Linked DNA regions of Caenorhabditis elegans. The protein of the gene in region 2 interacts with the protein of the main gene of each other region in a pairwise test. Each region holds a gene or a part of one and is shown on either strand. Other genes may lie near its edges.

Region 1 (5,266 bases), 8.0 Mb from region 2:
TAGAAGAAGAAAATCGTGGAACTAATGTCACATCATTAGTCAGCTTCGACCCAAAAAGTGCGACTCTTTTGCGAATACGTCAGCATTTGGAGGCAGAGCCATCTGATAGAGATGTGAGTTTTCATGAATGATTTTCTATACAAAATATTTATATCAAGAGTTCATAGTTGAAATAATATCTATAATTTTCAGACGCCAGACTACGATATGTACGAACGACTCCGATCAAGATCTTCTGGACACTCTGAAGTTGCACCGGCTTCTACTATCCCTTTGAGTTCTGACTATAAATCAAGAAATGCTTCTCAAGATTCGGTTCCTTCAATGTTTGCTCCGATGCTCAACTCTCCAGCCCCATCTTCTACAACTTCTGGATCTTCTTCTAGAACATCTGGAGCTTCGTTGGCACACAAAACTCACATTGTTGGGAAAGGTGGAATTTCGTTATCAACTGTTGATCCATCCCCGATTCTTTCTCCAGGAATACGGTTATCGGAGCAACTAGGAGCCAAGAATCAGTCTTATAAAAGTGCATTCAGGGTCCAGAAAACTGAAAATGCTCGTGTTATAAGTCACTATCACGCTCCCAACGAAATTCCACTTTCCAGTGATCCATCGGTTGTTGAGAATGAATCTAACTATCCCGTGATGACTAGTGGTGGACTTCTTGTTTAATTTTGACTCAAATCTCATGTCTTGCCGTCTTTTTCTAGGCACTATATACGGGTTTATTCTTTCTTTTTTGTATTCTTTCTGCTTTTTTTAAAATAAATGTTTAAATAATTGAGCTCAATTTTTATTAGAACCAACAACAAGTGATAACAAATTACGATAGAGACCTACTAAAATTCGAAGAAAATTGCTGAAAACCGAACACGCTAGGAAAATTAAAACAATTACTTTGCCTTCTTGGCAAATTTATCATGACGAATCCACCATTCGTCCCAGTCGTTGTTCTTGTCATTTTTGAATGTTGGGAAGTGAACAAGTGGATCTGGATGAATATCTTGCAGACGTACACCAGCTCTCTCAACAGGCTTTCCAGGTTCATCTGTCCAGCTTTTGTACCATTGACGATAATCAAAGTTTCGGAATTCTACTCCAAATGTGATTGTTCCATGTTCTTTTGCTTTCAGAAGTTGTGCACGAAGTAGCGTGTACTGTTCACGACATAGTCCACTCTTCAGGATATCGATTGGTTGGTCGGTGCCATCTGCCAAAAATTGTTCAATGAGACCTGGGTTTCGGTAGTCGAAGTATAGATATTCGTCACGGCACACCTGTAATTCGTGAATTTGTTTGTTATATCTGCAAATGTTAGTTGCTGTTACAAAAACTTACTGGACAAGCATGATTTAGATTGAATCGGCCGTGTTTATCAATGCAGAAAAGTCTTGGAGGTGGTTGAAGTTTCGATTGACCCTGAATTTTCAATCAATTTATTTATTTTTCGAATTCAAATTACCTTGATGTTTCTCTTATACCATCTGTAAATCGGAAGTCCTTTGTAAGCCTCTGCGTATCCTGAAATATATTAAATAATTTAATTTTTAATTGGCATTCATGAAAGCTGTACACAAAGAATTCCTCTTATTTTGTTTTTGAAACTAAATTGAATATTACCTCGACTTTTCATATAGGAAATCTGCTCGGCAATACTGTGTTGTGGTTTGTACATTCCCTTCTTTCGTTCAACATGATTGTAAGCGTATCCGGCCTGAATATATCGATTTTTAAGTAAAATTGTTTATAAATTTAACATAGAAATTAGTTTAGTTCAAATATATTATCAGTTACCTCTTCTGGAGTCGGAACTTCTTTAGTTTTTCCTTCGCAAGCCAATCGGCAGGAAGAATGAATCAGCCTTCGTGCGAATGATCCCCCAGTGGCTAACATACCTGAAATACTGACTTAGACAACTTTTAAACAATTTAATTATATTTAAAAAGTACAAGCTTATAGCTTTAAATTACAATTAAAAACTTAAAAATAAAATAATATACTTTGTGCGTCAAGTTAAATGCGGTGTACGCAAGGAATGTGTGTTCACCGTCACGTCAAGTTGCACATTTTCGAACATCTTATTTTTCTCAAATTTTTATTCTTCTGTCTTGTTTAATCTTTTTTATGAATAGTTATTCACTAATTTAATATTTTTTAAATGTTTAGTTGTAAGAAAACTTTACAGAAATGGATTCGTGTCTAGAAACCATCAGAAACTTGCACGAGGAACGGGAACGATTAATCGATATAACTGTTAAGGAAAAAATTGCAGAAAAGTTAACGCATAAGGCCAAAGTTAATAGCGAACAGCGAGTGAAAACATTTGTCGATGTAAGAAATAACTGTTATGTTATTTCAATTCAATATTATTATTTTTCAGAGGTACTATTCAGTTTCCGCCGAGCTTGCCAAATTTTATAAAGATGAAGACGGTTCGAAGAGCATGGAAATGGATTCAGTTTCTGGTCCAAATGAGTTCGCCGAATTTTATTCAAGACTGAAGGTCATCAAAGATGCGCACAGAAGAAATCCAGACGAGGTTAGTTTTGTTATTTTCCCCGGAAACAATTAAGTTTGGTTGTAATATAATTTCTATACATTTTCAGCTTGCCGAACCACTCACCGTGGAGTTCCAAAAAATCAATGAAGAAATCATCAACCCTGAAAGAGCCGAGCCAGATATGGTTGAATTCAGTGATGAAGAAGCTTACGGTCGTTTTCTAGATCTTCATGCACAATACGACAAATTCATTAACTTGAAGAACATCAAAAGGGTTGATTACATGACGTATTTGTTGAATTTTGAGAAATTCACAGAGATACCGAAAAATACTACCAAGAAGACAGGAGCATATAAAGAATACATCAATTCCTTAAAAGACTATCTTGTTTCTTTCATGCAACGAACTCGCCCACTCCATGATCTCGATTCAGTTTTCTCTGAGGTTAATCAAACTGTAGAAAGAGCATTTAAAGCAGGGAATCTTCCTGGTTGGGAAGCTGATAAAAACAAGAACGGACCTCAAGCAGCTGCTGTGGATTTATCTCCATACAATAGTGCTGAAGAACTCGAGGGATTGGGATTGGAACGTTTGAAAGGAGCTCTCATGGCAATTGGTCTGAAATGTGGAGGGTGAGTTAAAAATATTTGGATTTTTTAATTGTAGTCCTCGTTATTTTTCAGAACTCTGAAAGAACGCGCTGATCGTCTTTTCGCTACCAAAGGGCATAAACTGTCAGATCTCGAAAAAGCAGCAATGTCTTCAAATAATTCCGATGCCGAAAAGCAGAACGCTAAAAATTTGACATTGGCACAAACGGAAGCTCATATTATGGCACTTGCTGATATTCTAGCTGAAGAACGTACTGGAACTCGCGAAAATGTCGAGAGAAAACAAGCTAGATCTGCTGGAGAGGTCGAAGAAGAGGAGGAGGAGGAAATTGTGGTAGGTTTGAATTATTTTCTCTAGTTATTTTTAGAAACATTTAAAAATTCATTTTTTAGATCGAGGAAGAGGAAGAAATTGATGAGAGTGCACCATATAATCCAAAAAATCTACCGCTTGGTTGGGATGGAAAGCCAATTCCGTATTGGTTGTACAAACTTCACGGCCTCAATCTATCATATTCATGTGAAATCTGTGGAAATCAAACTTACAAAGGTCCAAAGGCGTTCCAAAAGCATTTCAACGTAAGTTCATTATATTGGTCTCGTTCAAAAACTTGATATTTGCAGGAGTGGCGACATTCTCATGGAATGAGATGTCTTGGAATTCCGAATACCTCTCATTTCGCCAACATTACGAAGATCAAAGATGCACTGGATTTATGGAATAAATTGAAAACCGAAAAGGAGATGGCTAAATGGAATCCGGACATCGATGAGGAGTACGAGGACTCCAGCGGAAATGTGGTCACCAGGAAGATGTATGAGGATTTGAAAAGACAAGGACTTCTGTAGACGCTATTTTATGTATTCCATTGTTCTTCTAAGTTATTTTTTTTCCTTTTTAATCTTACATTTCTGTAAGTTTTTAACCAATTGGTCTCATTTTTCAAATTTAATGGATAAACTTTTTTGTAATTTTAGTACAATTGAAATAATTTATCGGTATATACAGTTTCAGATAAGTAGTGAGAAAGTTTAATACTCAAATGCAGGATTTGCCTTGAAATCAGCACATCCTAAACAGCTACAATATTGTTCTCCTTTTCCGCAATAGCCACTATTACTGCAACAGTAGGATTCAGAATCCGGATCACATTTTGGAATTTTTCCAGTAGAAAGTCGTGGAGCATTGTAACCACAACGACCTGAAGATATATTCTTATAAGTTGAATTGAGGGCCTGTTCCCTCACCAACGTTGGCTGGATTCTCAGAAAATGTCCACCATTCTAATGGTTTATATTTGAAATCTCTCTGTTTTGCAAAATCAATACATCCATTACATTCACAATGTTCCTTTGAATTTCCACAGTAACCTCCATTACTACAACAATGAGCATTAGCATCATCTGGATTACAAGTTGGCGCTTCTCCTTCTAAAGGTGGAACATCTCGACCACATCGTCCACGTTTCCCTTCTCCAGCATCCGATGTGTACCATGTGATCTTTTGGCTTGGTTTCACTGGTTCTTTCAAAATTAAATTTGGATCTGCACCATAGTCAATACATTCAGGACAAGAACAGAATTCTGCACCGGAACCGCAATAGCCATACTGCAAAACGGTATTATGAAGCCTTTCACGGTGGTACTAACCTTTCCACAACAAGCATGACCTGGATCATCTGGATCACAAACGGGATAATATCCATCAATCAATGGAGACGATTTTCCACACATTCCAGCCAATTCCTCATTATCATCATATGTCCACCATCTTTTGTCGTCTACTGGAGAACACTTGTAGTTGAATGACTTTGTTGATGTGGTACAAATAGATTCAGCTGCAGCAGAGTTCAGAAGGGTACCTTGATCATCATCAAAGTCAATTGCCCATATCATAACTCCTCCAATATTATTTTCAACTATATAATCAACTTTATGTTTGAGACTTTCAGCATTTTCATATCCAACAAAGGTTTTTTGTTCAGAAAGCCAAATGAATGGGGTTTTGGATCCAGAATGAAACTTGGTTTTTGTAGTATCAAATTTCTCGTGCAGATCTCTCCATTGAACATCTCCACCTTCAAATTTTGTGCCTTCTGAATTAGTTGCCGTAGCAGTTCTCCACATATCATCTGTTGAGTCAACAGCATC
Region 2 (8,875 bases):
GAATTTTCAACGTTTTTAAAAAATATTTTCAAGATTTTTCACAACTTTTCCTGCAAAAAGTTACCTGAGATCCGGAATAAATAAGTCCTTCGCCTCCCCAACGCAGACAGGTGACCGAAGCAGTGTGTCCACTCAAACAGCGAACTACAGTACCCTGTACGGTATCCCAAATGAAAATATTTCCGTCTTTTCCACAAGAAGCCAGAAGCCTGCACGTCGGGTCTTTGTGCATCGGTTGCCATGCCAAACTGCAAAAATTTTATTATAAAAATTCGATTTGAAATGGAAATGTTTAGTTTTTATGTTGAAAAATTAATTTTTGGCTAATATTTGAGAGAAAAACTCGGGTTTTCTGAAGCTTTCTGTTAAAAATCACATTTTTCCACTATGGATGATAAGTAAACTCATAGAAAATATTAAAAATTCGATTTAAAATACCCAAATTATTGGAATTCGAAATGGGTCTGCTAGACTACAAATTACAAATTTCGATTTAGCAGACCCAAGTGGTTTTGAAGAAGTTTGGGTCTGCTAGACTACAAACTACAACTTTCGATTTAGCAGACCCAAGTGATTTTGAAGTGATTGGGTCTGCTAGACTACAAACTAGAAATTTCGATTTAGCAAACCCAAATAATAGTGATTTTCAAAAGGGTTTCAGTAAAAATACATCGTTTCAGTGGGGTTTTAATGGAAATTTTAAGAGAACATTGTAGTGATAAATACAATTTTACGGCGATTTTTTGTAGAAAACCCAAATTTTCAAGACATTTCAGTGATAAATGCGATTTTCCTGCACCTCGTGATCCATTGCTTGTGCCTTTTGAGCGTTTTTCCGATTTGCTCTCCGGTTTTCGCGTTCCAAATGCAAATTTCTCCGTTTTTGCAAGCCGAAGCGATTTTCGTAGCATCCGGTGACCAGGCGATGCAGAGAACCCAACTTTTATGGGATTTACACGTGTGGAGAGGCAACTCGAGCTCAATATCCCAGATTCGCATTGTTTGATCGCCGGAGCCCGACGCTAGACCACGTCCGTCAGGGCTGAACTGAGCAGAGATTACTGGCTCTCCGTGACCTGAAAAATATATTTAAATGCGTCAAAACGATCAAAAAATTACCTGGAATGCTAGCGGAGCATCTGGTAACTGGTCTCACACGGAACACTGCTTGTGGCTGATAAACAAGCTTTAATGTCTGAAATTTTAAATTTTTTAAAAAGTTTTCTATCTTCTTTCAAGGGCTTACAGTCTCAAAATCAATTTCCTCTAACGATTTTCGAATGGAATCGACAATTTCAGCGCCTTCTGTGGTGAAGAAGGAAATCGGCACAGGATCGTCACTGAAAACTCAGGATGAGATACAGAAAATTCATTATTCAAACAAAACCTGCTCCCGAGAAGCTGATTACACAAAATTTGCAGCTCATTCGTGGAGATGTCCACTGGAACAAGGATTCCCGATCCTCCGAGCTCGTTTTCGTCCTCTGACACGAAGCTGACCGAGATTTGTGGACTTTCAGTCATTTTGTTACCTGAAACCGTTTGAGTTTTAATTATTTTGAAAGTTATAACAAGGGAAATCGTTGAAATTGAACTGGAAATCGAAGAAATTCGTTAAGAAATTGCGCTAAATAAATTATTTTTCTCAGTGGAGCGAAGAAAGAAATACAGTGGAAAAAGTTAGGCCATCACTTTTTAGCATTCATTTGTATAGAGAAAACTGTAAATTTTTTACAGATTGTTATGTTTTTACACAATATAAAACATTTTTAACGTAACAGCAGTAAAAACTATGTCGAAAACAATAAAGAATAGATAAAAACCTACCGGGAAAATTTGAATTTGGTCATGGTCGAGTTCTGTAGTGGCCTAGTAACCTCCACTTAATATTCGAAAACGTTTATTTTTCAGTTTATTGCTTTATTTCTCTATTTTTAATTAAATTATTAATTTTCCTGAATTTTTTGCGAAATTTACGAATTTTCAAATTATTTATCTTATAAATTTGCAGAAAATGACTGCAGTTGTCTCAAACCGCGAGGAGGACTCGATGAACAACGAGCCCTCGTTGTCAGGGCGTGCGATTATTGGATTAATCTACCCGCCGCCGGATATTCGCAGTAAGTTTTATAGTTTAAACCAAAAATAAAACAGTTCTGCATGGTTTTGGAAAGATTTCACGCGGAATTCCGCAAAAACTAGGGCAAATCGATATTTTCCAAAAATAAGCAATACATTTTCAATTTTCAGCAATCGTCGACAAAACCGCCCGTTTCGCTGCAAAAAATGGAGTGGACTTTGAGAATAAAATCCGCGAAAAGGAGGCGAAAAACCCGAAATTCAACTTTCTCTCCATCACAGACCCATACCATGCCTACTACAAAAAGATGGTCTACGATTTCTCAGAAGGCCGAGTTGAGGCTCCGAAAGTACCGCAAGCAGTGAAAGAGCACGTGAAAAAGGCTGAATTTGTGCCTTCAGCTCCACCGCCGGCCTACGAGTTCTCAGCGGATCCATCCACGATTAACGCCTATGATTTGTAAGTTTTTTAGAACTTCTAGAACTAAAATTAGATGAAAAAGCTATTTTTAACCTAAAATGAAGTGAAAACCTTATAAATTGCAGAGATTTGATCCGACTCGTTGCTCTGTTCGTTGCACGAAATGGCCGTCAATTTCTGACTCAATTGATGACACGAGAAGCCAGAAATTATCAATTCGACTTTTTGAAACCGGCTCATTGCAACTTTACATACTTCACAAAGCTCGTTGATCAATATCAGAAGGTAAAAATCAAGAAAATCTGCGTATTTCTAAGAATTTTTAAAAAAATCTAGATTTTTCGGTTGAAAACTCAAAAAAAATCCAGCTTTTTCGGTAGAAAACTCAAAAAAAAAACATTTTGATAACTTTTTCACTATTTTCAGTTTAAAGATGGCGGAAAAGTGAGCTTTATAACTTTTATTTGAAATTTTTAAGCTAAAAGTTGCTAAAATATCAGTTTTCAGGTTCTGGTGCCCTCTACCAACGTAGTTGCCCAACTCCAAGACGATGCTACCAACAAAAAACGTCTCATAGAAGATATCAATTATCGTGTATCCTGGGAAAAACATCAAAAAGGTCTAAAAGATCGCGAGGAGGCAGAAGCCGAGAAAGAGCGTCAAGCCTATGCATCAATCGATTGGCATGACTTTGTAGTTGTTCAGACTGTAGATTTCCAGCCAGGAGATACTTCTCAGCTTCCACCACTATGCACACCAAAGGACGTTGGAGCCCGTATTCTTTTGGAAGCGAGAAATGAAATGCAAAAGGCGGCGGCTGAAATGCAGGAAATGGATATGGAAGAGAGTGATTCCGATGACGAAGATGCCGTTCAAGGTGCTTTTTTGGAGCATTTTACGTTGAAAATAGACAAAATTCACTTTTTTCCGGTTTTTTCCAACAGTTTTACTTTTAAAATAGATGGAAAACAATGGCAAACTATGAAAACGCTGAAATTCAAATTTAAGTGCTTCCAACCTGGAATATTTAAAATTTTTAGGCGAATTCACATTTTATTTCGTAGAAAACGAACAAAAATCGCAATTTTGAGTTAAAAAGTAAGATTTTTTGGGTCTGCTAAATCAAAACTTGTAGTTTGTAGTCTAGCAGACCCATTCTCTTCCAAATCACTTGGGTCTGCTAAATCGAAATGTGTAGTTTGTAGTCTTGCAGACCCAAGCTCTTCAAAACAACTTGGGTCTGCTAAATCGAAATGTGTAGTTTGTAGTCTAGCAGACCCATTCTCTGTAGAAACTACTTGGGTCTGCTAAATCGAGTTTGTAGTTTGTAGTCAAGCAGACCCAATTTCTTCCAATTCACTTGGGTCTGCTAAATCGAAAGTTGTAGTTCGTAGTCTAGCAGACCCAAAAAAATCAATTTTTTTTTATTAGCTTTGGCAAATTTTAACTCGGAAAACTAATGAATTTTTGGGACATGTGAGTTTCTATCCAAATTGATGGTATGAATATCGATATTCTCGGCTGAAAGTGCAAAAACTACCGTATTCTGACCAACAATTATTGGAATAGAGCACACGTGTCACCCGAAATACGAAAAGTATTTTTTTTTAATTTTTCAAATTTTTAAATTAAAAATGAGTATATTTATATATTTTCAGCACCAGAAGCCCCTGCATTCACTGCTCCGCTGCCACCTACAAAACAGAAAGACGTGATTGTTCGAGATTACGATCCGAAGAGAAATGTGACCCAAAAGCCAAAAGCTGTGGAGAACTGGATCATTTCACCGCTCACCGGAGAGCGTATTCCATCGGATAAGCTCGCCGAGCACGTCAGATACAATACTGTCGATTCACAGTATAAAGAGGACAGAGATCGTCATATTGGAGAAAGAAGCACGGAGGAGCCCGTATTGGCTCTTGGAGCTGATATTTCTAGGTTAACATTTCAGAAATTTCTTTGAAAAACGAACAAAAGTCTAAAAATCGCCACAATAATCTACAAAAAATCGATTTTTCGTGGAAATTTTGTTCATTTCCGCATTTTTCGCTCGAAATTTGAGATCAGTGCTTCAAATTAGACCTGGAAAGATTCTAGCTCAATTTCAGAAAATTTGGGTTATCGTAGCACCAGAAGTACTCAAACACTGACTACAGCACACCTAAGCACCAAATTTCACGACAGTGGTGAATTTTGAGCTAAAATCGATTTTCAGGAGTAAATTAGAGTGCTAAATCTAAAATTGGAATAAAAATGTCTTAAAAATTGTAAAAAGTGAAAATTAAAGATTTTCAGACAAATTTCCGATTACAAATGCCCACAAAAGATGTTCAAAGCTGAAAATTATAGATTTTCAGACGAATTTTCATTTTTCCACGTGCCAATATCACTAAACCCCAGTTTTTTCTTTCAGAAATCTTGGCAATTTCGCTGAACGTCGTACGGATATCTTCGGTGTCGGCGGAGAGCAGACTATGATCGGAAAGAAGCTCGGCGAAGAGGACAATTCGCAACAAGGGCAGAACAAACTGATTTGGGATGGAACTGAAGAGACTCGGGATATGATTACCCGAGCTGTACAGAATAAAGTCACTTTGGGTACGGGAAATCTAATTTTTTGGCGAAAATTTTGAGTTTTCCGGGATTTTGTTTGGGAAAATTACACGATTTGTGTGGTTTTCTATGTAGAAATTTCTCTAAAACACTCAAATGTTTCAAAAATTCGAGTTTTCATGAAAAACCAGTAATTCAAAAAAAAAGCAATTTCCTCTAACAAAAACCGTGCCAAGTTTTGGATTTATGATATTTTCCATCTGAAAAAAATCTGGTATCTCGGCTGAAACGGGCAATATATACCGTAGTCCAAGTTTTCCCAAAAATTCCAACCAACAATTTGTGCAATAAAGCACAGTTGCCACCGGAGATGCAAAAGCTATGTTTAATTTTCCAATTTTTGGCTGAAAATTGAGCTAAAAATTTACAATTTTCCCGTCATAAAACTCACCGAAATTTCGCTTTTCAGTGTTTTTTATGCAAAAAAATTAATCATTTTTCATTTTTCAGACCAACAAATCAACGAAATCCACCGTCAACACGGATTCGTTGCCGATCCATCAAAGGAAAAGATTGGAGCTCAGCAGGTGCCACGTCATCAATCGACCCAGGGAAATGTGACAATTACTCAAGGAATAACGAATATTCCTGGACAAATGCCATCCGGATGGCCGCCGGTTCCACCAATGGGAATGCCTGGGATGCCGAATCAAGCGGTATGGGATTTTTGAGTTGAAAAATCTCCAAAAAAAAATTCGTTTTTTCATGTAAAATCCTGGAAAAATCGGATATTTCGACAAAAATTGTCAATTTTTGGACCAATTCTCTTTGTATTGCAAAAACGAATCGAAAAATCCCAAATTAAACATGAAAACTAACATTTTCAATTTGGGTCTGCTAAATCGAGTTTGTAGTTTGTAGCCAAGCAGACCCAATTTATTCCAATTCACTTGGGTCTGCTAAATCGAAAGTTGTAGTTCGTAGTCTAGCAGACCCATTCGCTTCACAACAACTTGGGTCTGCTAAATCGAGTTTGTAGTTTGTAGTCAAGCAGACCCAATCTCTTCAAAATCCCTTGGGTCTGCTAAATCGAAAGTTGTAGTTTGTAGTCTAGCAGACCCAATCTCTTCAAAATCCCTTGGGTCTGCTAAATCGAGTTTGTAGTTTGTAGTCAAGCAGACCCATTTTAAAATTAGTTAAAATTGGTTAAAAATCGCGAATTTTTGCTGATTTCAGAGAGATATTGTATTTCTTTCGAAAAATATAAAGAAGTGGTTTTTTGTGTATTTCTGTTTAAAAAAAAATAAGAAAAAGCTACACCAGGTTAGCTGAAACTATATTTTTGTTGAAAAATAGTGAAAACGCCACCAAAAGTTATCTTTAACCGCGTAATTAGACGATTTTTCGGCGGAATTAACTGGAAACTGTGTTAAGATTAAAATTACTGAAATTTCCACAAAATTAAATTTTTTTAAATGTAAATTTCATCTCAAACGGACACAGAAATTCCCATTTTCACTGGAAATTCTCATGAAAAGCTCCAATAAAATGCATAAAGCTCTATAATTCCAGCTTCCTCCAATCCGACAAATGGACTTTGGCGGTGGACCTCCAGCGAAGCGTCCTCGTACCGAAGATGATTTGATACCAGAAGCTGATTGGCTTAAAAAGGTCAACGGAGCAATTTCGCTTAATGTTCATCTTCCACAGGCTCCCGAACACGGAATGGATGGCTCAATTGTGCAGTTTACAATTCAAGTTACTGCACCGGTGAGTTTTAGATAAGAAAATTGTTTTTTTCCCCTGAACGAATTTTTTCACCTTTATTTATTTATTTATTTATTTATTCGCTTTTAAACCATTTGAATAGTAAGTTGATAATAAACATAAAGAATAGGTAAGAGGCGAACAAATATAAGATGACCGATTGGACAAAGGTCCGTGGCCAAATGAGGGTGGGGGTATGAAAGACTTATTTACAGAAGCTTTGATGGGGGAAAAAAAACTATAAGTGAGATCACATCATAGTGTCAAGGGGCAGGGAACAAATACGTTTGGTAAACGTTTCGGCTGACACTGGTTTACTGAACAACTTGGCAAGAGAGTTCCAAAAAGATAGGTATTTATGCAAAAATATTTGTTTGTTGAATGGCCCATTGGGAACCACCTGATGCCCAATTAATTCATAATTTTTGCAGATGTCCGAACTCAAACAACAAATCCAGGATCGTTACGGAATGCCTGTTGGAAAGCAGAAGCTGATGTCTGATGGCCTTTTCGTGAAGGATAATATGAGCTCGGCCTTCTACAATTTGGCAGATCGGACGGCGATTTATCTGCAAGTGAAGGAGCGTGGAGGAAAAAAGAAGTGATGAGCTATCGATTATTTATTACTCTTATTAATATTTATTTTCTTTCAAACTTTATTCTAAAATTGGACGCCAATTTTAATTCTTCAAATCTCAACTTTTCTTCCAATAAATTTGTAAAAAAACCGTTCTGTAAATTTGGAGTGGAAAATCTAAAAGTTCAGACATGGCTATACAAAATTCAGATTCAGCATGTCAAATTACCCCGGGACACTTTTTCTCCGGCTTTTAGCCTTAAATTTCAGAAAATTGGGTTACTGTAGCACCAAAAATACGCAAACATCGACTACAGTACCCCAAAACACCAAATCTTACTACACTGAAGAGTTTTGGGCTGAAAATTGATGTTTAGGGGTAAACTGGAGTGCTGAAATCAAAAATTAATATGAAAATTCTAAAAAATCGATATGAAAATCTTAAAGTCCGGCATTTTCAGACAAATTCTTGATTTTTCTTGGTTCAAATAATAAATTCGAATTTTTTTGTTTATTTTGTTCAGATATCCAGATTTTTTAAATTTTACTTGTTACAGGACATTTTCAGAACAAAAAATACTAGAAAAACAGAAAAAAATTGCGTTTTCAGTAAAAACAAAACATTTTTTGCACAATCTGAAAATTGTTCGATTGCACCCTAAAAATTGCACTATGTTTTCCAAATTTCTTACATGTGTTTTTGTTTTTTCCCCCACCTAACATAACATTTTAAGAGTTTTTGAAAAAATTTTCGAAAAAAAATTTAACAAAAAATTTTTTTTCACTTTTTTTTTCCGAATTTCTTTTTTTTCCCAGAAACATCTTGTACCCCATATTTCATTACAGTAGTACTTGTAGTCAGTCTGTCTGTGCATCTGTTTGTCCACCAAAATCAGCAGTTCCCGCCACCTAAAAATAGTTCCCAACAAGTAAGTTCAGCGTCAAAACTGGTATCAAAACTCCCCTTCTTACCACAAAGTAATGTTCTATTTGACATTTCGGAATAAGAAGTTTGCTCCCATTGTTCAAATAAACTGTATGTGTGCTCCGCGGAGCACACAAACGAAAAAAATTGCCACTGGGAGAGGGGAGCTCAGGGGGTGGAGCACTTTGGCACAAATGAGCACACTTTTTCCTCATTTTTCCGATTTCAAGAGCCTCATATGACTGATGCTGCAGTGTTTAGCTGATTCTTCAAATTTTTTGAAAATTTCGCGGAAAAATGTTTTTTTTGGAAAATTTTTTGGATTCAATTTTTTTTTTCGCCAAAATATTTTTTTCTCAAAATTTTTCTAGTTTTCACAAACCTAGTTGGTAATTTATTTGGTCACTTTGAAACACGATTATCATTTTTTAAAAAGTTTAAAAAAATTTTCAAATCCCCGGTAACCTCCATTAAAATTTCACTTAAAAAATTCGATAAAATTTTTTTCCCAAAGTTTTCAAAAAAATTATTTCATCCAATTTTTCCTTTCACG

What was found. The genes of interacting proteins can lie anywhere in the genome.
Region 1: the proteins of prp-21 (region 2) and prp-9 interact in a two-hybrid assay, tested with the Caenorhabditis elegans proteins (2 studies listed by BioGRID).

What each region holds. Positions count from the first base shown.
Region 1 is NC_003280.10:8,522,319-8,527,584, reverse strand, and holds prp-9 (Matrin-type domain-containing protein), read left to right. Parts: upstream 1-2,188; 5' UTR 2,189-2,190; coding exon 2,191-2,334; intron 2,335-2,383; coding exon 2,384-2,542; intron 2,543-2,609; coding exon 2,610-3,136; intron 3,137-3,187; coding exon 3,188-3,449; intron 3,450-3,508; coding exon 3,509-3,694; intron 3,695-3,739; coding exon 3,740-3,964; 3' UTR 3,965-4,091; downstream 4,092-5,266. Other genes in the region: gldi-7 (Sodium/potassium-transporting ATPase subunit beta-1-interacting protein), read left to right, coding at 1-113, 193-675; mrps-18B (28S ribosomal protein S18-2, mitochondrial), read right to left, coding at 897-1,280, 1,342-1,422, 1,466-1,524, 1,624-1,717, 1,798-1,896; cht-2 (GH18 domain-containing protein), read right to left, coding at 4,148-4,317, 4,364-4,724, 4,766-5,266.
Region 2 is NC_003280.10:482,855-491,729, forward strand, and holds prp-21 (uncharacterized protein), read left to right. Parts: upstream 1-2,011; 5' UTR 2,012-2,014; coding exon 2,015-2,120; intron 2,121-2,250; coding exon 2,251-2,539; intron 2,540-2,625; coding exon 2,626-2,785; intron 2,786-3,007; coding exon 3,008-3,377; intron 3,378-4,158; coding exon 4,159-4,438; intron 4,439-4,913; coding exon 4,914-5,098; intron 5,099-5,563; coding exon 5,564-5,769; intron 5,770-6,027; exon of another isoform or gene 6,028-6,110; intron 6,111-6,625; coding exon 6,626-6,823; intron 6,824-7,251; coding exon 7,252-7,425; 3' UTR 7,426-7,549; downstream 7,550-8,875. Other genes in the region: gldi-1 (NLE domain-containing protein), read right to left, coding at 65-248, 800-1,076, 1,120-1,195, 1,247-1,340, 1,388-1,524.